2 linked regions of the Struthio camelus genome follow. The protein of the gene in region 2 purifies or fractionates together with the protein of the main gene of each other region. This does not show direct contact. Links are inferred from orthologs where the notes say so. Each region holds a gene or a part of one and is shown on either strand. Other genes may lie near its edges. The genes, in order: SOD1 and RNF19A.

Region 1 (11,875 bases), on a different chromosome or scaffold from region 2:
TTTCTTTAGAGCATTGTTCCTTCTCCCCATTTAATTCTTTCTGACTTTTCTTTGTGTTCTTTTCCTCACAGCTGCCCCCTTCCCTATCGTAACTCTATCATCCTTCTCTACAACCACTCGCCCCTTCTGTCTTAGCTCCTTCTTCATCATTTGCATGTTAAAAAACTCCCCTTGGTTGTGGGCTCTTGGAAAAAACCCGTCTTGGCAGGGGATTCACGAAGCTCAAGTGGAGACGGAAAGTGGCTGCACAGGCAATGGCTCTGCATGCAGCAGAGTCCCCCTTTAGCTGCCCAGAGGCTGAGCGCTTTCTGCCATTTTCTTGGTCTCTCTCTCTTTTTTTTTTTTTTTTTTTTTTTAACAGGGAGCTTGAAATGTTCAGAGGAAGCCAAGCTGTGGGAGAGCAGAAGGCTGAGAATGGGAAAGGAATCACTGACTCCAACCCAGGGGAAGAAAACGGGGTTTCAGCTTGATTTTTCTGCCTCTTATTTACCATATTATTTTACTACGAGTTTTCTGGTAACTGGAACATTTAGGAATGTAAGCTCACTAAGATCATCTGAGAGTCCCAGATTTCTTTCAAGTGCATTTGTAGCCACTCATAGAGAAGAGCACAGAAAAATTGTGAAAGTCCTATTTTAATGGCTCAGAACAAGAAGAAAATTAAAGGAGCGTAAACAGTTGTGAGGGGGATTACCTCTTGTGACTTTAGGATCCAAGAGTTTTTTGAACAGCTGGGACTGGCAGCAAAGCAAAGATTTTCATTGCAATTAAATAGATATTTTTGTGATAATCTCCTTTGCCTTTTTCTTGGGAGAATTCATGGGGTTTTTTTTATGTCAAAACATTGCAGCGATAGAGTTACTGAGCTGGAGAAAAAGGGTTAATACAGCAGCAGGTTATCAGGATAAACTGTAGAGAAAGTCACATCAGTTCACGGAAGCCAATATGCAAAGTCACTATGTGATGGTGGAAAGGCTGAAATTATGCCTTTTCATTACTTTAATCAAAATATTCTTTGGATTTGATAGAAGCTATTCAAGCTCAAGTACAAAAACCACTTAGTTAATACTTTAAAAGCCATTCTAAACTTCAGATATGCTACCTCGCAATTCAGTTTGATTGCACTACTCCAGAGGATCACTTTGTGCTGTCGCTGCAGCTCTCACAAAGGACTCAGAAAATGTGCCAATTATTATTTCTGCAAACCCCAGAGAATCCACAGAATCCTTTTGTGTGAATGTGACAAACCAACTTGTCTTGCAAACCATAATCGTGCTAGTAACTCCTAGCTGCTTTGTGCTCTTAATTTCAATCTCCTAAAATGTTTTGATGGGACAATTCACCAAAAGGTGGCCTGTCCCATGTAAATGGTGGTTAAAATGTAGCTCTTGCATGAGAGGTCTGAATGGGGGCGCTGCAGGACTGAACATGCTCAGGAGAAACTCCAAGAACCCAGTTTTCTCTGAAATTTTGTAGTCAAAGGTCTACACAGCCTTCGGAGGAGAAGAAAAAAAAAGTCTAGAGACTCTCTTATAGGCTACTGCTGTTTGGGAGAACCCTAGGTAAACAATATCATAGCATTACTAATATAATAAAACTATAAACATTTTAATTGCCCACTGGTAGCTGTTAGGAACCTGGTCTGAAAGTCTCTCCTGCCTGCAGGTACTGACAGAAGTACCTTCTTCCAGCTATTCCCACTGTCATGCTCTGGCATGTACCTCCTAGTTTCCTAAGAGCGAGCCTATACTAGGATGTATGGGTGAAAGAAGGAGCGTTAAGCATGCATTTTGCACTGCTTTCGCAGAGCGCGCACTGCTGACTTTTAGATCACCAGCTCTCTGCACAGCAGGGCCCCCAAACTCCCCAGAGGGAGAGTGGAAACGGCCAGTCCTGTGGTGGTTCAGCAGGGGAACCGCATAATCCATTGGATTCACCAGAAATACACACTGGAGTAACACGAGCAGGCTTTGGCCCTGTCTGAAGTATTTAAAATCCAGCTCTTTGAATGTTAACCAGCAAAAAAATTCAGCGGACAGATCGTGAATAGCACCAGTGCCTGAGAAGGGTTGTCGTAACTTGTGGCCTCAAGTGCTGGTGCTGGGTACAAAGGTCTTCACCAATATTTACACAAACTTGTCCTCTGAGGATCATATTTCAAGTGTACTCAGCTTGTACAGCAACGCAGAATTAGGGACTTAATACCTCAATTTAGCTACTAAAAGGACAACAAGATGTCAAAAGTGAATGTTATGTTTAATCTTTTATGTTCCATTCAAAGCCTTTCTAGGCTGGCACTGTTTTAATTATATGAATACTTTGGTTATCAGCTCTACTAACTCTTAATTGGAATTACATGCTTTGCACTAGGGAGTCTGTCACAAAGTTTCTAATGTAATAACTCCTGATTTCCACAGTGCTTTTCATCTTCAAAATGCTATACAAACATTAACTGAGTTAATTACCTCTCCCAGAATCCCTCAGAGGTAGGGAAGTGTCATTACCCACATGTAATCAAATGGGAAGACTTTAATGGCACACGATGCATTTTCCAGGACAACGCAAAGGCTCAGGGTTGGATTGGGTTCTTCAGGATAGGTGTTTGGGGCTCTCTGGAATGCAACAGAGAGCCTGAAGGGGGGCACAGGGGCTGGCAGGTAGGCAACAGGAGCTCAAGGACCCCTCCTGCAGCAGCAGCTAGAGGCCAGAGGAGATACCTGGAGGTATCACAGATGGGGCTAGACACCTATGTGTAGACAGCTGAGTCCAAGGACAGGGCAAGCATTAGATTTTTGCAGATTTTAGCATTTAGGATCTAGACTGTGGGACTCTGAAGGACCTCCCCCCCACCTCCCCCCCGCCATACACACACACACAAGCGTCTTCTAGACCATTCATAATACAGAATTATCTACATGCAGTACAGCACTCTCCTTACTGGGTACGCCTGAACAGACATGCACATCTTGTGTTCTCTATGTATTAAGTGATTCCCAAATGCTACAAGTCTTCTATGATTCCACAGCACAAGTTGATACCAACATTGGGAATTTAGCTTCCACATTTCTGAAGGGAAGCTTTAGATAAGAAGACCAGGCAAGCAACGCATTTACTGCAGCGGGAAGCCACTGCTCACTGTCTTTGTGTAATCAGGCCTTTAAGCTAAACAGAACGCACTCACCCACTGAGATGCAAAAATGGGTTCAGAATAGCCATAAATCTGCTCCCAGAGCAGGAGGAAGGACTGCTCTGATCCAGCCCTGCTAGGATCCTCAGTTGCTGGAACGTGAGGCTGCAGAGAAGTAATGGTTGTTTCCTTTCCTGGCATGCTAGAATAAGCTCACCTGCACTTAATCTTGCCAGCAGCCTCCCCTTCAGAGATGCACATTCAAGGAATTAATGGTCCTACAGAAAGAATTATTATTCATGTTGTTTCAGTTCACCTTTGTTACTGTGAAAGAATAAACATAAAAATGACATTAACGTAGATTAATAACGTATCTAATCTTGATGGGTGAGCACCTATGCACAGAAGCTCAAGAGACCTGGAATGATGCTTCCCATGGCAATCTTAGTTTCACCTCATATCTTTCCAGAAGAGTCATCAGAAGTAGAAATACTATACATTTGCACAAGGCTTCAGAGGTATGGTTGTCATGGGAACCATAACTCCTGAACTTCTAATTTTTTAATCAATATAAAATCTGAATCAGAATGCGAGTTAATGTGCTGCAGAGGCTTAATGCTTGATGGATGCCATATTTTTACAGTACAGAAAGTTTGGGATTTTTTGTTATTTTTGCACGTTTTGCTTAGAAGTTGATTAGTTGATGAGTCTATGTAGATTAGACATCTGTTAACCCACATGACACACTACTTCATTTGTTGCCGTTAGCGCTTTAAGTTGGCAAATTAGGAAACAATCAGGGCTAACATGAATCCTAGTTCTTCAGAGATTTACCTGCGAGTCTCTCTATGCGATGTGAGCAGCCCTTTTGACCAACACTAAGAACGGCTTCATTCCCCTGCTAAAATGGATACACTATGTAGCCAATTGCAGAATGGAGAAAATATTCAAAATCATGTGTCCACCTAGCCCTAAGCCTGTCACTCCCATACTTGCTTCAACCCTCTGGGCTCCAGTTCAGTCCTCTTTGTTATCACTGCAGCTATGAAGGTGCGAACAGGCCCGAGTTTAGACTTTTTCCAAGGTAAGATGGCAGAACAAGAGTATAGGTCAAAAAAGAGTGGGGCTTTGGTGTCAAACAGTAACTGCCAAAGTTGCAAGAGACCACACTTCCTTTCTTATGTCTGACAAATCGCCTGTCTGACTGTAGTTCATGCTATCAAAGTTAGTAATCCCACCTGGCAGTTTGTTCTTTCCTCTCTGGTTTGACTCTGATATTCTGAATAAAAAAACCAATGTGTTACTGCCACCAGACACTTTGTTCAACTTCTTTGTGGTGGATTTTCACAAAAAATGTTCCCTGCTAGCAAGATTTAAGAAAGTAAAAAGTGAAATGAGTGAAATGAGTGAAAAGGAAGTATGTGGGGAAAAAAAATCTCTAGCTTCTTACGCAAGACTCCTGTGAAAGAGTATTCATGTAAACCAATATTTTTGTATTACTATTGTACCGCATGTAGGAATAGAAAACACTCTAAAGGGTGAGGCCACAGCCTGTACGTGATTACTGATCTGCACATACCATACAAACTCTTGTATGTTAGTCCTTCAAAATCATATCTTTCCTTTAGCCTTCTACCGCTGACCTCTACGCTGTCTCTTAACATGTCATCTTTGTCAGCTGCACTCTATCTGAGAGATCAGGCATCTCAGAGTTCAGGCTTTTTTCATAGAACTCTGTAACCTGTTGGTCACACCTAATGCGACAAACTTCTGAAATTATTACTTCACTTTACGTATGAGGAGGCTTGGCACATCTGGCTCTTCTCTTTGGTAGAGCTGCTTATCCATCTGCTTGTCGTACATTCATGTAGAGGCATGAAGAAGGGTGGATCTTGAGAACTTATCTCCAGGAAAGAAAGAATAAATCTGTCTGATAAAAACCAAGGCAGATCTGGAGACAGGCCTAAGAATAAGAAGAAGCACCATAGCAAAGCACTCAAGATGTTTCTCCTTATGAAAAGACACTGACAAAAAAAAAAAAAAAGGACATCGGAAGCCAAAGATGGTAGATAGCATAATGAGTCACTACTATCCTTCCACGTTTACAAGCCATTTTTTAAATCAAACAACATTTGCCTTGAGGGCACTGAAATATTTCCTTTTGATCCAGCCAACATTCAGGATGATGGAGGTTGTGCCATTACCACAGACTTCTTTGTTCATGAGCAATTTACAGTCTTTTCTCTCCATGCACAGCAGGAATTAAACTCCAGGAAGATCATGAACTCTCAGTGCCGAGACGCCTCCTATTTGGGATGCAGCCCAGCTCTCTTTCTCTCTCAGCATCTTTTCAGGATCAAACTACAAACATTTTATCTATCTGTCAGACTAATGCTCCCTGTGTATTTGGCATTTTCCTTCCTGCTGCTTCTTTCTCAGAGAAATATGCCATTCAACCAAACGAATCTCTGTTCCTCACAATTAACGTCAGGCCCCCATAAAATTCCTGGGATTCAAAACTGAGCCTAACGTGTGAAACAGGCCTTGTGCTCCCTTCCTTAACCATAGGGCATTCTCTGCCAGGTGTCTTAAGATCACCAGGGCCCTCAGTCATACACGCAGACTGCCTCAAGGTACAGCTATTATACGATCGTTTTGGACTTCTGATTCAACTTGCTCATCAGTAATGCAGCAGGAAAACAAGGAACATGGCTTTACCAAAAAGGCGTTTATTAAATGCGATCATTTTATTCTTAAAACTCTTGGAGGTTGCAGCTCTTCATACAAAAGTGCACAGATATATCCTCCCTGAGTCCGATGTTAATTTTCCCTCGGAGCCTAAGGTTTGTCAGCACGGAGAGAATTTGTCACCTCTTCCCTACACACCCCTCAGACAAGTAGTCCTCATCAGCGGCTACACCAAGAGACTTTCCACGTTAAGCACAAGTCTGCCTGAGCTGTGTACTAGATACCCAGCCTGTGATTGCGGGCAGCCGATGGGCAAAGGGGGCTCCGAGAAGCCCACCGTAACCTGACAGTCAGCAGCTGAGCAGCAGCACCACCAACTCCAGACGGAAACCCCCGTGGCTTTTGCACGGGGAACAAAACACCTTCTGGACAGGGCCACTTCTTTGAAGCGCAAAGCTAGGCTGAGGCAGCTTTGTAAGCGCGCTCAGCTTTTCAACTGGAATTCTCAGTAGGGAAACAAACAAACAAAAAAAGTACAACAATACACAGAAGGGAAAAAAAAGTTGCAGAAAATGACAAAAAAATGCTGCGGATGATTCTTAATCTTACTGCCTCAGTGCATGCCTGTCACAAAACGTGTTTTTCACGTCAGTATGAAACCCTAACGCGGTGAGACCTAAAAACCGAAAGCTCATCCTTTTCGCGGGGGAGGGGAGGGGAAGGGTTTAAAGTGAGCCTGCTTAAGAAACACCCCGCTTCCCGAACGCCCGAGCGTCGCGGCGCCGGCAAACACAAGAGACAAACCCCCTGCGACCGTTCAGCAACCAACGCGAGCTACCTGGGCCAGCCACTCCCGCAGCCAACCCCCCGCGGGGCGGCGGCCAACCGCCCCAACGGTCGCGGCGCGAGGCGCCGGGGGGGGGGGGGGGAGGCGGGGCGGCCCTCGCGCCGTTGTTTATCGCCGCCGTCAATCCCGCAGCGCCTCCGTTACACAAGGCGGCGCGCCCCCCCCTCCGCCCCTCCCCCGCTCCCCGCGGCCGGGGGAGGCGCCTCACCTGCCCATTGGCTCAGCAGCGGGCGCCGCGGCGCTCCCTCCCCCTTTATTGGCCGCAACCCGCGAAGTAATTGATCGAGGAAGCTAAAAAGGCGCGCTGTGATTGGCTGCGGCGTTGGGGGGGGAGGAACGCGCTATATAAGAGCCGCCGGGCGGAGGGGGCGGCTCTGCAGTGCTGGGGCGCTCGCTGCGTTGGTTGTTGCTGTTGCGCCGCTCGTCCGGCCGCCGCGGGAAGATGGCGACGTTGAAGGCCGTGTGCGTGATGAAGGGGGACAGCTCCGTGCATGGCCTCATCCACTTTGAGCAGCAGGCAAGGGCCGGCGGGTGAGGGACCGGTGGGGCGGCCCGCTCCGCTCAGCCCCGCCCCGGCCTTGGGGGCTCGCCAGGTGCTGAGTCATTGCCCGCTGCGCGGGGGCGGCTGCCCCGGGCCGCGCGGGCTCGGCCGCGGCTCGGCCCCGTCACGGGGGGACGGGGGAGGGTTAGGCCTGCGGTTGTTGCGCCCCTGGGGGCCCCCTGGCAAGGCTCGTTACTGGAGCCCGCCGCAGCCCTTCTGGGAAGCCTGTTTGTCGCTGCCAGGGTGGGACTTTACGTGGGTCAGTCTGCTGCGTGGTCTGAGCCCTTTTCCACGCTTCCCGAGTTGGCTGTTCCCCATAGCTGGGACTGTACTGAGGTAATGCTGTGCCTGCGAAGGAGCACCGATGTTTGGGGTTGCTTGTGCTTGCATGCTGAAGCACGTGGTTACTAAAAGCAGGTAATCTTAAAGAAGGCATCCCTCTTGTTTGACAGATTAATCGGAGGAATGCTTTCTAGGTGGTTAAACAAATGCAAGTTTTCTGTGAAATGCTGTCTTGGCAGATGGAATCAATTCATGCAGGAGGGTAACCATTCATGTTGGTTGCTGAACTTGCAGTGGAGTCTCCAGTGCTTTCTGTTGACCAGAAAGCTTCATGTGCTGCTATTAGCCCACTTAATACTGTAGTCATTTAGGTGCTAACAAACTCTCTTTCTACTGAAGGGTGATGGACCAGTAAAAATTACTGGAAAAATCGAATGCTTGGATGATGGAGATCATGGCTTCCATGTCCATGAGTTTGGGGACAACACAAATGGTAAGATCTGTATCTAGGCTTTCCAGTTAGAGCTGTATCCTGACTGTTCAGCTGTAAAGAGCTTCTTCTAGTGTTACAGTGCTGACTAGTATGAAATGTACTTGGTAGTCTGGTGACTGCAAGACTGTTTTATGAAAGGATGACATTCTCTAACAAATTATTTCCCAGTTAATACTCTAAACATGTTTAAACTAGTCTTCAGAACCTGATATATCAAGCACTAAAATACTACGATGACCTGGTGTTAAGAACTGAGAATGCTACTTTCAGCTAAACCAAGAACATCTGAAAATGTTCTGTATTCCAGAACGTTATATTTTATTGGACTCAGTAAGGCTTGCAAGTCTGTCATAGGTTACTTGCCTCCAATGGATCAGGATAATATCTGGCATGAGAACAGCTATTTTATCATTAGAGAGTTTGCTTCCTCTCTCTGTGAGAGGACTACCTTGTTGTATTGTGTAGACAGGTTTATATTGGCTGTGGTGAAAACCTACACTTCTGATGTCTGATCTGTTTCAGGGTGTACCAGTGCAGGTGCCCACTTCAATCCTGAAGGCAAGCAGCATGGTGGACCAACTGATGCAGAAAGGTGAGTTTAATGTGCCTGATCCTTTATTGGGTAGCTGTTCAACTTTAAGCCAGCAGCTCTTTAAGTGAGACCCCTTTCTGCCTGGGAGACCACTTCCTGGATCATGCTAGGACAAAGCTAGGGAGAAAACTGGCAATTCCAGCAAGTCTTCTAGGGTCAGTTAATACAAGTCCTGCTAACTGGAATGGTATCTTGGCTATCTTTGCTCCAAGAGTATGGATAGGATGTAGTCTTTGAGATGTGTTCTTGGCTTAATCACAGCTTGGAGAGAGATTTATTTTTTACTGAGTGAGGGTATTTCAGGATGTGGGTGAAGGGGATTCATGTGTTAATGTTCCACTTGGTCAGTGGTGACTTGCTTCTGTGTCAGGGCCCTGCTCAGCAAATAGCCTTTCACAATGGGCCTTCATCTGTCAAGGACCTATTGACCTGTATGCAGGCCTGTTATGTGGCAAAATCGGGATTATCTGGGGAAGGGATTGGAGCTGCAGGGGGACTCTAAAATGAATAGGAAGCTGAGTGTGCCTGGCATGGTGGTGGTTTGAGTACTAGGCTGTGCTCAACTTTTCAGCCTGGGCTGTGCTTAACCTGTCAGCTCAGGCACTGTACTGCTTACAGGACATTCTCTTTTAGGGGATCTGTGCTGAGTGCAAGTATGGGGTCTGTTTGTTCTGAACACTACTGAGCCTCAGTGGCAGTTGAGACATGGAGCTGAGGCCTAGTTTTTTTCATGGGAGCAGTTTCATAGTCCAGTTCCTTGAAGGGGCCTTTGCATGTCTGATACCCATACTATTTAAACCACTTGCTCAGGCTCAAATAGTATACTCACTGGAAAGGGGCTGTGCAAGAACTGAAGGCCAATGTGGCAGCAAGTGTACAAGACCAGCCCGTCTTCTACAGATAGGTGTAGACTTGGCAGTGTGATATGATTTAAATGCTCACCTAAAGTCCATAGTCGCAACTTCTGTGACTGATAAATGAATAGCACAATGTTCAACTGCTTGCCAAACCAAGCTGTGGCTGCTAGTCACCTGTCTGGATGATGGCAGTATGAAGTGGCTTGCTTGTGGGCTTCCCAGGCAGTCAAATGCTCCTGTGCTAAAGGCCAAAACTGCATGCACATCATGGCTTCTGCCAGTTCTGCTTAGTCAAACTCTTCTCCTAGCATAACCTACGTGCTCAGACAACTGTAGTCTAGGGAATCCTCTATGGAAACAGAACTAGGTCATGCTTCAGTCAGTACAGAGTTGAAACAGATTGGACTAAAACTACCTGGAAGTTAAAATGAAGCAAATGTCTAAAGGGAAAACTGCCCTTGTCCTCTTTTGTGACTTAGTTGAAAATAGAAGTCAACTACTGGCTTCTTAGACAGTCGGATATAAGCATTCAGCTAGCTGAGCTGGTTACTCCACAATGCCTGGAGAGTTTATTAGAAACAGACTGGTATTAAGGTTCTGAGTCTAGGTCAGTGTCTTGCAGCTCTGAACATGAGCTTGTCTATGCCCCTTTATTTGGGATAAATGGATTGGGAACAATGCACTGGAATGTCCAAAAGCTGCAAACTGACTTGCTACCTGAGGCTTAATTCTTCAAGGAATTCCTGGTGGCAAACTGGCTCTAAACAAAACTGTATGGTAGAACTCATGTCATAAAGGAAGATTCAGAATAAACCGGAGTAGTCATTCCTAGTACTGATCAGAACTTAGCATTTAATGTATCCCCTGTTGACCTGTCACTTGGCAAACTGCTTTTACTAATCTTGTTTAAACCAGGTTTGTCTGCAGCTGCTTGTAGAATGGCTGACTTGTCATAGACATGAAAAGCTTTAAGCATAGCAGCAGCGCTTATACCAAACTTTGCATGTGCAGAAAGATTGTCTCACCTAATTGAGGGTGTTCCTCTGAGCAAAGAAATAACCTATAATAGAGAAATGTGAAGGAAATTCTTAGCTGCAAGAGTTGTGTATTATCAGCTTGCCTTGCCAGGAGTCATGGTGTTTCTTCCCACAGTTGTAATTAACCTTTTGATTCCAAGTTCTGTCTAGAACTGAATTTTAATCAAATCTCTTGAACTAAATGTCAATAGTGGAAATGTTGAAGGGAACACTCATTTAACATCAGTGACCCTTCAAGATAAGGTGGTGGAATACTTCAGGGAGGTAAAGATGAGTGTTGTATTGGCCAGACCAATACAATTTAATGTACTGAGCTTTCTGCAAGTTTGTCTGCTGCTTTGTATAGGCATGTGGGAGACCTTGGCAATGTGACTGCTAAAGGAGGAGTGGCAGAAGTGGAAATGGAAGATCCACTCATTTCTCTTAGTGGACCATATAGCATCATTGGACGTACCATGGTGGTAAGTGTCTTGATGCCTGCTTAGTTGCTTTGCAGAACTCCAGAGCAGTCTTGCAAGTTCTCTTGCTGCTAGAGGCTTGTCCCTGTTTTTTTTATGTAAACTGTAGCTCAAGACTTTGACTCTGGGGAGTCTTTTCCAAAGTTCTGCCTGAAAATGTAATGTATCACTGTGGTAGTTATTACCATGATCCTGAAACTTGCTGTGTGCCTTGCTGAGGGTATTCCTTTCCATTAACCTTGCTTTTTACAGCTGAGTGATAAAAACCAACCTTATCTGAGGAAGCAACTGGTGGTCTGGCACAAGTGCTGTGTCATTGCAAGGCATGATGATGGGCACTTAATGGCTGTGCTCCTTACCACTGCTGTAGTGGCTGTTGCCTTAATTTGCCTCATGGCCTCCCTGGGGGAAGGAGGCAGGCAGAGGGTGTGGATGCTGTGATTAACAAGCCTGTGGATTGGATAATAGACCACTGTATCAGTCTGGTTTCCCCTGGGACTCCAGTGCATGCTGAGACCACTGTATTCTTGCTGCATGAAACGGGCTTGGACTGATGACCAAGCAGCCAGGAGGTGTAATGTTTGTTAAGGAGTGGCCAGGGCACACTTGTGCCTTCGTAAGTCAGCCTTGTGTTGTAAGGATGAAATTGGATTTCAGGTCAATGTTTCTTAGGTGAGTAGTAACTCTTTTCAAACTTGGATTTTTTTTTCTAACTTGCAGTTCTAAAATTCAGTTGAATGCTACTTTTCTTCAGACAAGTCTAGTCTCAGGTTTTTAGCATGAGTACCAATTTGGTGTTCAGTGATACAGTAGAAAGAACCAGTCAGTTATTGCCAGCTGTCGCCAAGGTATATGTACTACTTGTTGCTGTTAGTACTAATGTAAATAGCTGTGAAATGTTGATTATTAATAGTAACATGGATTAAGTATCTTTAATTCTCTTTTTAGGTCCA
Region 2 (11,702 bases):
TTAACTCTTCAAGGAAGGACAAATCTACAAGTTCTTTGGCTCTGTAGAAGATGGACTCACACTTGAAGGACCCTAGCTGATTTGAGATAAACTTGAGAAAAAGTGTAGGCCTTTTGAGCAGAGCTATTTCCACCATGACTTTAATCTTTTAACATCTAGATGTTGATGAAAAAGCTATTTAAAAAAAAAATCTCAAGCACTTTACCTTTATGCAGTTCTTCCCCCTACCCCACTGCCCCACTGTTCTTGCAGGTGAAATAGCAAAAACATTCTTACTCAAGCTTTCCAGAAACAATTTCACCTTTGGGCAGAGACTAAGCACATAACTTCTCAACCCAGAAAAACAGAAGTTTCAGTCTGTTCGGAGTAACAGAGGGGGAAAACCCAGGGGACTTGTATGGAAACAGTGTTGTGCAACAGAAACCACAGTCTGCTGCTTTTCACAATACAACTCTTACTTGGCTTCCTTTTTCCACCAAATTAAAGCTACCTAATGATACAGAGAGTGATAGCAGCTGACCTTAAAAAAAGGCTAGATCCAAGAAAGGTCATAGGTAGCACATGCGCATGTTGCAACTCCTCACCTTTGGGTACCCAACTTCCAGAACAGACTCCAGAATTTAGGTGTTATGTCTAGAAGTGGAGTTTTAGATGTCCAAGAAATTTTAAGCTCATAAATGGGTCATTTTCAGACTTTTGGTACCTTACAATTTGAGTGACATCTGACTTTTTAAGAGCAACATTTTTTCTTTTAGGCACCTAGATTTATCTAAATCTTTCCATTCTCTTTTTGATGGAGGAAGCGTATGGCTCTAAAAAACTCGGAAAATCGGTGCATTATAAAATGATACATTGAAAAAGTAAAAGGATTTCCAAACAGAAAAAGAACAAACAAAAATAACCCAAATATCATTTCATCTGTATTGAAAAATTTATTAATGGCCTAGCTGTGTGGCAGGAAATGTGCAGGCCTGGTAGATTTTAGAGGAACTGGGCTGATAAAAGGGTTTCTAATTTTTTTTGAATTAGAAAATAATTTTTTTTAATTTCTAAAAAATGTTTTGAGGGTAGCAGAAGAGCAATCCCCTCCTTTCCGCTCCACACGCTGCTTATAATCAAAATACAATATCTGGCACTAGCACGCAGAAGAATATGGCTGGCTGCTATACTCACACGCTTTGCCTTTGCATAACATTGTTGATAATTTCCAGTAGTTCATGTCAAGCAAACACTCTGTATTTCATACATCATGGGATTTCAGTACAGGAAAAACTGAACACAATTAATGAGATCTTTCTCTATAAATAATAGAAAGTGTCCTGCAGAGCCAATCTGGTATTTGTAGTGCGATGGACTTGATGATTTGCTGCTCTCTTCTCCCTGTACACTGTATGATTAACAGCTTCCAGGAGTTGGCATAAAACACAATCTGCCATCTAAATTCAGATGTCATATGGTTAGCATAACTATCACTTGGTTAACTGGTTGCCCAGTCTCTCCAGTTTAGATCAATTACATTTAATCTGTTGTGCCATGAAAAACATGTTCATATGGCCAATTGTTGCTGTTACCATGTCAGACAAAGTGCCAAAAAATTTGGCAACAATTAGATTTATTGAGGGGAAACTTTAAAAATCAAGGGCTCCCTCCTGCAATTGAATTCTCCATTTAATAAGCTCCAACTTGTGCTCATTACTTAGAAAAATCTTGCTGAAGTCAGTAGGAGTCTGACCACAGAAGACAACGTGGTATCAAGCCCTCACACAATAGTCTTCCTTCTCAGTTTCGTAAGAGAAAAAGCTGGAAAGAAGCATATTCAATTGTTTTAAACAGATTTTCTTTCTTGGGGCAGGAATGTTCTGGGGCCGGGCCTGTAGTTCTAGATATCTTAAATTTTCTACTCTTGCTTTTTCTTTATTGACTACCGCAGAAACATGGTATCATTTCTGAATACTGATTAGATCAAATGATGTAACTCTAAGATATCTGAGATGTTTGATATGCCTATGGAAGTCTGCATCTTTAATGTTTAATGACATGCTGAGAATTTGGAAGTTCTTGTTTAGGACATTGTTTACTGATATCTTGCCGCTTTTTAGCTTGGATCATTGAGAAAGGGCTATATCTACTTCATCTAGTTCTATTTGACACTAATCCATCTTTCCAGGCATTTAAAATGTGCTTGTCATCATGGTGCCCCAGCACTTAAATATCCTTTCATTTTAGCTTCAAGGTCATGTTGCCTTTTGAGAAAATCCTAATCTGGATTTCTTCCACAGTATACATTTTTTAATCTATTGCACTCAATACAACTGATGATGACAATTAGCTAATGGTAAATGATTTGGGGTTGGAGGGGAGAAAGGGAAACAGAAACCTGAAAGAATTCAAAACCTATTCTTGTCTCTGTGCAATTTGAATCTTACCTTACCAATATGTAATATGTTCATCACTTATATACTGATATTTATTAGTATTGTCTATTTCTCCATGCATATACCTTACTGCAAGTATTTACGGTCTAAATACTGGTCTAAAGAGATGTTTTGCTACCAGTGGATATTATAGATATTTTTGGTCCATCAAAGGCTTTTGTCCTGTCTTCCTCAGGTGCAAGTCAAAACGCAATTCCACACTGCATTTTCTCAAACAGGAAAATTGATCTACACGGGCCTCTGCCTTAGCCTAGTCATGTGTTCCTGCAGCCACTTCAATTCTGTGCCATGGTTTTTGTGCTAATGCAGCTTTTTGTGGGGCAACACTGTAAGCTAGATTAGTAAAATGAGGAGTGCAAAAAGAAACCCTCCAGAAGAAAAAGTCTTTGGCTGGAGAATGTAGAAAAGTGGTGAATCCCGAAACAAGTGGTGCTCTTCAGAGCAAGGTGAGACAAAGGACAGGGACATAAATCAAAAGAGGTTGAGGATGTCTCTTTGCCCTTAAAAAATGAGGGACCGGAGACCAGGTGACAGCAAAGGCTGCAGGAACTATGGAATGATTTTTAGAAAAAGTTTGGTTTTGGTATTCTTAAAGTTTAAGCTAATGGCTGAATATTAAAAAGAAAAAGGAATTCAGAGAGAGACTCATATGTAGGATCAGAGAGATGGAAACATTTACCCATTAAATTTGATATTCTTCCAACATAAGTTTAGAGAAAAGAACATAAACGCATTAAATTTGGGGCCAATGTCCTGTATTTCACAGTGCCCTTTTATATGAGACAGTACTGCTTCATAATACTGAAACTATACTGAGACCAGCAGTCAATGCAAGCATAGATTATGTGAAGGATTAGTGTAAATCAAGAGAAGGTTATCCATGTCACATCTTTTCTCCACTCCCTACCAGTAGGAGAAAAAGCACTTTCACCTCTCAGTTCTCTCTGCTTACCTCCTCTCTTCACGCTGATAAGATTTTTTGCCTTTCCACGCTTGACAGTGTTCTGTACACTTATGTCTTTTTAGAACATACCAGATGTTCCGTTCTGAGGGTAGTACTTTTGTATTCTGATAAACCACTTTGTACTTTTCTGCCAGCAGCTGAATTAAACGCCCAGCGATCTAGACAGAATGTTTCACTCCCAGCTATTCTCCAGAAAGTGTTGTAGAAAGACAGGCTTGTTTGTTTTCATAAATCTTGTGTGCTTCATGAAATGCAGTGTGCATGATATATTTCCTCTCTGTTAAAAGGTTTGGACAGCCCCTACTTTTTCTTAATACCTCTTTGTCATCTTGCTCTGTAATAAAAAAACAACTAGGCAAGCAAGCAAACATATCCTCCCTACAAATCAGAACAAGCCTCTGTCAGTTTTTGTGTACTGACAAAATGCAGGAAGCATTCTCTTTCCTCACTGCGCTTTCTGTATTTTGCTCATCGATGATTTTGAATGCTTTTGTCAAAAGGCACCTACTTAGCTGCAGGCTCTCTGCTGCATGTCTCTCAGGGGAGTTGCAGGCTGGAGTTTTCAATTTGCCCCTCGTCAGATTTCAAGGAGAAGCCATCTGATGCCATAGTGACCATCCAGAATTTTAAAACATCGGGACGCTGTGCCCCTCCCGATATCCAGCACTAGCCAAGAGACTTCAAAATTTTTTTTTACTGATTTGCTGAATTCCTCTCGATATTTAGAAAACCAATACATTGCTGCATTGCTTTGCTTCTGTTGTTGTTGTTTTGTTTTGTTGTAATTGGCAGTTGCACATTAAGTTGCTAAAAATGTCTGCTGTTTCCATTCTAGTCTAATTCTGGTCACTCTTTGTTCATCTATTTTATCATACTACATGCATCTGCTATCCTAGTCTTCCTGTTCCCCTCTTCTTGCCTTTCCTTTCTCTCCCTCAGTTTATGAACTTCACTTCTCTTTCTCGACATCAAATTTCACACATAAAAAAGCACGCAAGACTATCCTGCAAAGTTACGTTTAATATTTTTCTGCATACCTTATCCAACGGAATACAATGGGACTTCTTAAATGCATTAAGTAACTTATGTACATAAGGGTTTGTAGTACTGGAGCCTAAGTAATTCATCTAGCTACTAGGTTTAACAAGCAAAGAAGGAACTGCCGTGATTTGCATACAACATACCAAAACTCCAGGATAATCTTACTGCAGTTATCCTTACTTTCCATTTCCCCTCCCTGATTGTTGTAATCGCCCATTCTGTCATTTCAGATGAAGCACTTCACTATGGAAAGACTTGCATCCACACTTCATTTTATGTACTGCACATAGTCCCTATAGACTTAAATGGAACAGTGCACATAAATAAAGTGTATGCATAAGCCTTCACCACACTGAACATTGTAAATTCCACAGGACAAGCACGGTACATTTTATTTGTTTTAAAATATCTACCCACGTTAAATGCAGGTTGGATAAGGAGTAACTATTTCCAGAGCAAGCTTTTAGGATTTCATACCAGCTTAATGGAAGCACTGCTATTCATCTGTAAGTACCAGGATAAATTCCAGTTCTGGAGAAATCAGAGATGACACTAGAGAGCATGAGGAACTGACTCGAGAGAGAAACAAAGGGACAGAATGTAAAGTCAAGGTAATATTGATATACGCAAACAATTTTTTAAGTGTAGTAGAGGAGAGGGATTTGGAGTCAGCCCAGAAGCGGAGGTCAACAAAAGCGAGCCCGTTGTGTGAGGGGGTGGACAGTTAAGAAGATATTACTGCAGACATTGGGAGCCCTATGAAATAAGTTGCAAAGGTCAAAATTAAAAGGCGATAAATACAGAAACTAGAGCAAAGGGGAGAGGCAAGCTCCCGAGCACAAGAAGCGGCAGGTGATCATTTTCGCTACTGAATACTGGCGTCCAGGAAGGCAGAGAAGCTGACTACAGTTAGGCGGAGAGAGAACAGGGTCACGCACTGAAAGAAAAGTCGGGATTTTTTTTTTTTTTGTTTTCCAGACAAATCCTGAAACGGCTGAGCTTTTAAATGGCAACAAGAGGGCTGGCAAGAAGAAACGTCCGTATTTTACCGCGCGGAATCCGCCCTCATCAGCGACATGACCCCGCCGAAGCCCCTCAGCAGCCCGCCCCCGCCCCGCCGCCGCGGCCGCACAGCGTCCCGCAGCGCAGGCCACGGCCCCTCCCTGCCGCCGCCGCCGCCGCTCTCGGCCCGGCCGCTAACCGCCTCCCCGCCCCCACGAAACGCAGGCCGCCCCGGGCCGGGGCCACGCGAAACTCCCCCCCTCCAGCCGCCCCCTCCGCGACGCGCCAGGAGCGGCGCAGCGCCGCCGCCGCCGCCGCCGAGGCGGGGGACAAGCCCTCACGTTAACGGCTGCGGGGCAGCGCCCTGCGGGAGGGCGGCGGCGGCGGGCGTCGACTGTTGCGCGGCGGAGCCGCCCCGCCCCGCCCCGCCCCTTCCCAACGGCCGCGACCCGCGGAGCGGGGGGCGGCGCGGAGGAGGAGGAGGAGGGACGGGCGCTGCCGCCGCCGCCGCCGCCGCGTGCGTGAGCTCAGCGCACCGCGGAAACCACCCGCCCGGGCGCCGCCTTCCCCCCTCTGCCCGGCCCGCCCCGCGCCGCCGCGCAGCTGGGCTCGGCCCAGCCCGGCCCGCCCCGGCCGCGGCAGCGCCGCCCCCTCCGTCGCTGGCTCACACCCCCTCCCCCCCCCCCCCCACAGACAGACGCTTCCTGCGTGGGGCCGGGCCCCGGCGGAGCGGGGCTGCTTCCTGCCGCCGACTCGCAGGTACCGGCGATGGGCCCGCGGCGGGCAGCGGGAGCGGGCGCGGGGCGGCCCCCGCCTCCGGCCTGCAGCGGGGGCCGGCAGCAGCCGCCGCCCTGAGCGTGGCGGGGGGTGGAGCGGAGCGGAGCCCTGGCGCCGGAGCCGTCTCTAGGTGGGGGCCCGAGCGGGGCCGGGGTCGGCGGTGCCGCGCTGCGGCCGGGGCCAGCGGCCGGGGCGTCGCGGCGGCCGGAGCAGAGGGAGGCGGCGGCGGCCGCTGCTCGCATTGCTGGAGGGTGAAGTCATCGTGCCCATTGTCTCCCCTCGGCTCCCCCCGGGCGGGCGGGGGCCTGTCCCGCGGCGGCGGCGGAGCGGGGCACGGCCGACCCCCGCCGCCGGGCCGCGTTTAGCTTGGCGGCGGCGCGGGGGGGCCGCGGGGCGCCTCCAGCTGCCCTGGCCCGGCCGGGGCAGAGCCTTGCCGGGGGCAAGGTCCGGCCGCGGAGCGGCTCCCTGAGCTCGCTCCGGGCTCGCTCTCCCTCAGCGCGGGGCCGGTGACTCGGGGGCGGGCGGGAGCGCAGAGGGGTTTCGCGCGGCCAGGGGAGGTTCCTGCCGCTTGCAGGACGCCTCAGCTGTGAAGGTGGCGGCGGGGCAAGCCGCGAGGGTGGTCAGCGCCTTGTGCGGTGTCCTCGCTGGGGAGGCAGCGGGAAGGGGGGAGCCGGCGCTCTTAAAAGCCAGCACGCGTGTTAAGAGCGAAAGAGCTGAAGAGGTGCTGGTTGGCAAAGGGGAGGTGTGCTCCAAGGCTCTGCGACCGGAAAAAAAAAAGGGGGGGGGGGAGGTGGCTATGGCAAGGGGACTGTGGTGGAAGGCAGAGAAATCACAATTTGAAGCCTTCGTGCCCTTGTGTGGACTCTTATTGCAAATGTGCCTGTGCTTCTCTGGGAGAAGCACAACAGATCTTGTTTCTGTTAAAATACTGTAGTTGGCATTGGTGCTGTTCAGTGCTTTATCTCAATTGTCATCAAGGACAGCCTTATTTTAAAAAAGGGCAGAGGGCAGTTCAGGAAATGGATCTTGCAGCATTTAATTCCGTTGATTAGTCATCAGTTTGTTTCTTTTAAAGTAACTATTTTCCTTAATCTTAATTTTGAATTACAGGTTAAAAAAAATCTTTTTTTTTTTTTTTTGGAACTGAAGCATAGGTTCTCAATTGCCCAGTTAACAGAATTCACTTGTGTGCATAAAAACAGTGACTGTCCAGTGTCAGTTAATAATTGCCTGAAATTTTACCCTTATTTAGCTGTAAACATTTAAATGTTCATACTCAAAGCTGCTCATGAAAGCTGAGAAAACACTTTTTAAATTGCATGTGAATTAGACCTTTTGGGACCAGGAAATGAAAATTTCACTTTCTTTTGCATAATGGCAATAATGCTACTCTTAAACACAAGTCTAATAAAGGATAGACATGAGATCCCTTTCCCATATGCATTTTTGTTGAACTATGCCAGTTTTAGTTTTGCTTTATAAAGTTCTTGTTGGAGGAAACAACTGTTTGTTGGTCATCTCTTAAGTGAACTAAATTCTGAATTCTAGCTGTTGTCTTCATGTTGTCAGCTATTTCTGAGTCTGAGGGCATCAGATCATTATTTCTAAATGAGGGAGTTGAAATCTGTGTGCATGTAGTTTTCTGTCTCTTGCCCTCCCCCGAAATCTTCTAGCCAAATGGCGCCTTTCCTATGTAGAGCAGTCATCAGATTTCAATTAATTATGCCAGCAAAGGTTCAGGAAAAAGGAAGATACTTGACAGATGTATTTGTTTACCTTCGTAATGTGTACAAATCCTAATCTCTGTGTTAGTAAATGAATCATTAAAACTCCCTTAGCCATGGGATTCCCAGATAACAATAATATGTGCTGTGTGTGAATGTTATCAGTCTGTGAAGGAGCACAAGTACTTGAGGTCTTTTGGTAGCTAGGTAGAGCCTTTTGTAATTGAAAATGTGCCTAAGTTTTCTTATTCATTAACAACATTTTATTACTACTCCCCATGACAAAAACAAACTTCAGGAGCCCTAATGGTAGCTGTCCCCCTAAATTTGTTCAATGGGTAGGTGATTTTTTTTTTTTTACTCAATTTTTTTTCTTTTCAGTTTGCTTGGAATTTTTTGCTCCTCACTAAAGTGCACCTCCCAAAGGTGTTTTTTTTTCTCTTCGAAGCAAGCAAAGTAGGAGGCCTAAATCTTTTCATAGGACTTCTGAATCCTATTTTGAAAGTGCTAAGAAGGGTCTTTGAACTCTGAAGTGCAGCTACACTGTTCTGCACTGCTTTCCTCTGATGGCCTTTAGCCAAGGTCATGGTCTCTATTATGGGGTCAGGTTACGCTGGCCCACAGTCGGACGTCCATAATTAGCTTTGTGATTTATTTTCTGGATAGTATCTTAGACACCACACACCAGCCTAGTAGAACAATTTTTAATACCTGACTAGAACAAGTTGATGAATACATGATTTAGTTGCCACTCATCTTGATCTGAAGTCTGATGTCCTTGCAGTAGTAATACAAATGTGCATGATAACACCGGCTTATCCACAAGAAAGTTAATTTCGGTTTTTCTCTTTTTGCATTTGTCTTAGCTCTAAATTTCTGTTGTCCCTTCTCTGTTAACTGATGGAAGATGTGTAGCCGAATGAATCAGTGCGTATACACGCTTCAAGATACTAAGAATGATGTTGGATATTATATTGCTAAATACATCTGAATTGCAAAATGGAGGTGGACTTCCACCAAGAAGGTAAAACTTACTTTGAGCCTTAGAGATTTGGTTGTTTTTAATAGTGTTGTACCTGAATTTTGGCAATTTCTTTTTTCTTTTGCTGTAGCAAGAATATGGAAGTCTATGTCTGTACCTAGAAAATAGCTTGCTTGTTTCTTTGTTTTTTAAATAATGTTCCTAATTTTTATCAAGAGGGGAATTCCTTTTATTTTTGATTCTCTGAACTGGAAGTTTTGACTGTGATTTAGTCTAATTATAGGCCATTTTTAATAATTAGATTTTTTTTTTTAAATCCACAATGAAATAATTTTAAGGACAAATCAGAGCCTTTTGTGTTGTATATAGACCAGATGTCAGATATGCTGTGCTCTACTTAACTAGAAAAAAAAATCCAAATGAACTAAAAACTTCCCCCTCAATTCTTCCCTATGTTTTTTACTATTTGAAGTAGAATTTCAGTCTCTTCTTAAGCTTTCACTTAAAGGTTACTTCAAAAGATACTTTGGGCGTTTTTATCTTCTTTTTTTTAGATGAGTTGTGGTAAGTTATTATGTAAGATCTTTGGTCGTTTGCTGGTGTTTAGGGATTTACGGATTTCATCCAGAATTCTGTGAATTAGCATTCACCTTAGCATCCCACATTTTCTTGTAAGGATATTTTTTAGTTGATGAGATCAATGGAAGAGTCTTTGCTGCTCTGAGTCATAAGAAGGTATAGTGGTCTTCAGTGGTCTCTGGTTGTTTCATGTGCATTTCTGGCAATTCTCAGTGCACTGTAGCAGCTCGATTTTGACTGCTGGTCCTTTCTCTGGCAGGCTTTGCTCTTCTTTTCTCTTTCTTCTATTAGTGCAGCACGCTCGCGTGCTGGCTCAAGGATCCAAAACGAGGAATGGACGATATCTAAAGAGAACTGTAGATGTTTTATGTAACTAATATCTTACAGGCCTCAACTGCAAGTTACCTTGTTGTGTGTGTGGCCTTATACCTACCACTTAGGAATAGTGTTTGAGTTCTTGAATAACGTGGTAGAGTATCGGAGGATCAGCTAGAATTCAGAGAAGCAAGAAAAGCTCTATAGCTGAGGTGCAAGATGTCCTTTGTGATTTAACTGTTAAGTCTTTCCTCATTAGGGCAAGCGAGGAGGGCCTTGACTCATTCTTTTACTCGACTTCAGAAGTCGAGGCACACTTCTAAGAGAAGATTTGACCTCACCGTTACGTTAGATTTATCTATGGAATAAGGAAAAGTAGGAGTGTTTCCATTACTGCTTTTCAAGGGAAAGGCTGCAGTAGGGTTTTCTACTCTTCAGTATGTAAACTGTAGATTCAACTCGGTCACCTGTTGGATGACTAGTAGTATCTTGTTGGGCAGGTAGCTGAAACACTGCAACTGTAATTGCCTTTTGCAAGATGAAAATAGCTATAGAAGAGTGTATTTTTTCTGAAGGGCGAGTTCCAGCAGGTTCGCTTTACATCTAGATACTACACCAAACTGGAAAGCTGATAGAAGAATTACTTTAACCTAAAGCAACTTAGCACAGAGATCTAATGAAATGAGCTTAAATAAAAATTGCATATACACAGGTGTTTCCTCAGGCATTAAAACTTCCTCTCTTTAGAGGCCAGCATATCCCCTAATGATGTCTTCAGCAAGATGTTTGAAGGGCACCTTGTAGCAATTCAGTTTGGTATAGTTACTTGTTTTTTTGCCGCTTAAGTAAAGCACAACTGTGTTAATGCAAGTATCCTGTTATTGTTCACTGCAAGCTGTCGTTGTGGGACTATGTCAATTCTGCTCTGTTGCCATTTATAGTTGAGATAAATCACTGTTAAACAAACACTTTTCCATAGGTCCTTTAGCTGTTCCCATAAGGCAGATTAGAGCTCTTATTCCAAACTGGAGCCCCTGGCTGTCCCCTTCAATTGTTCCATTTATTGCTTGAAGAGCAGCTCCAGCAAGGGACCTTACTCTGGAGAAACTGTTTGAAATAAGGATCTTGTTGCTTTGTTCTCACTGTGAGTCACTGAGGCTACATATTCTCAATAAATAGAAATATCAACTTTTAAGTTTCTCAGTTAATGATCAGATAATTACTATAAAACCAAATTGTCCAGGCTACATCAAATTAATCCACTATTATTTTTATTCAGATATGCTGAAAATGTAAGATAGTTCCTCTGCTGTTCTGCTTAGTGCACAAATTTACCATGTACGTTTCCAGAAAATGGTTTGTAAGGAGCGCAAAGTGATCCTGGACCTCAGAGGGATCTCCTGAATGCTGGAGGTCAGGTGGGAAGTCCTGGACTAAAGATTTTAGCTGAGCCATGAGGATTTCACAGTGCTATATAGCTAGCTTATTTGATATGTTGACACCACAGTGATTTATATTTCTTAGGACCCAAGGAATTGGGTGCCATATGCTCAACCCAGATTCAGTGCTGCAGCTCTTTGTATCAGGATCTGGTTGTACCTTGACAGTGAATGTTTTACTGAAGTGGTGACTGAACATCTGTAAGATAATTCTGTGTGATAAGTGAAGATCCAGGCTGAGGGTGGTTGTTAAAATGTACTGTTTGGGTTCCTTCCTATCAAAACCCTTTATGTGGGGAAGAAAGCCGTCCCTCAATCGTAGAATAGTGAAAGAACATTTGACTGGGACTAGATAATGATTGTAGTGATACCACACAATTGGCAAGGAAATTGAAGAATAGAGCCTACTAAGAAACGGAGCAATGTGAACGGTGCTGAGTAATG

Evidence for each region.
Region 1: the proteins of RNF19A (region 2) and SOD1 purify together in Homo sapiens (affinity purification with western blotting, with the first as the bait; 3 studies listed by BioGRID). This does not show direct contact. The link is inferred for Struthio camelus from reciprocal best matches to the Homo sapiens genes RNF19A and SOD1.

What each region holds. Positions count from the first base shown.
Region 1 is NC_090942.1:119,549,785-119,561,659, forward strand, and holds the start of SOD1 (superoxide dismutase [Cu-Zn]), read left to right. Parts: upstream 1-6,731; 5' UTR 6,732-7,104; coding exon 7,105-7,179; intron 7,180-7,884; coding exon 7,885-7,978; intron 7,979-8,500; coding exon 8,501-8,570; intron 8,571-10,810; coding exon 10,811-10,925; intron 10,926-11,870; coding exon 11,871-11,875. UniProt on the Homo sapiens protein: Destroys radicals which are normally produced within the cells and which are toxic to biological systems.
Region 2 is NC_090943.1:146,381,810-146,393,511, forward strand, and holds the start of RNF19A (E3 ubiquitin-protein ligase RNF19A), read left to right. Parts: upstream 1-6,047; 5' UTR 6,048-6,201; intron 6,202-6,215; exon of another isoform or gene 6,216-6,349; intron 6,350-8,809; exon of another isoform or gene 8,810-8,967; intron 8,968-11,702. UniProt on the Homo sapiens protein: E3 ubiquitin-protein ligase which accepts ubiquitin from E2 ubiquitin-conjugating enzymes UBE2L3 and UBE2L6 in the form of a thioester and then directly transfers the ubiquitin to targeted substrates, such as SNCAIP or CASR.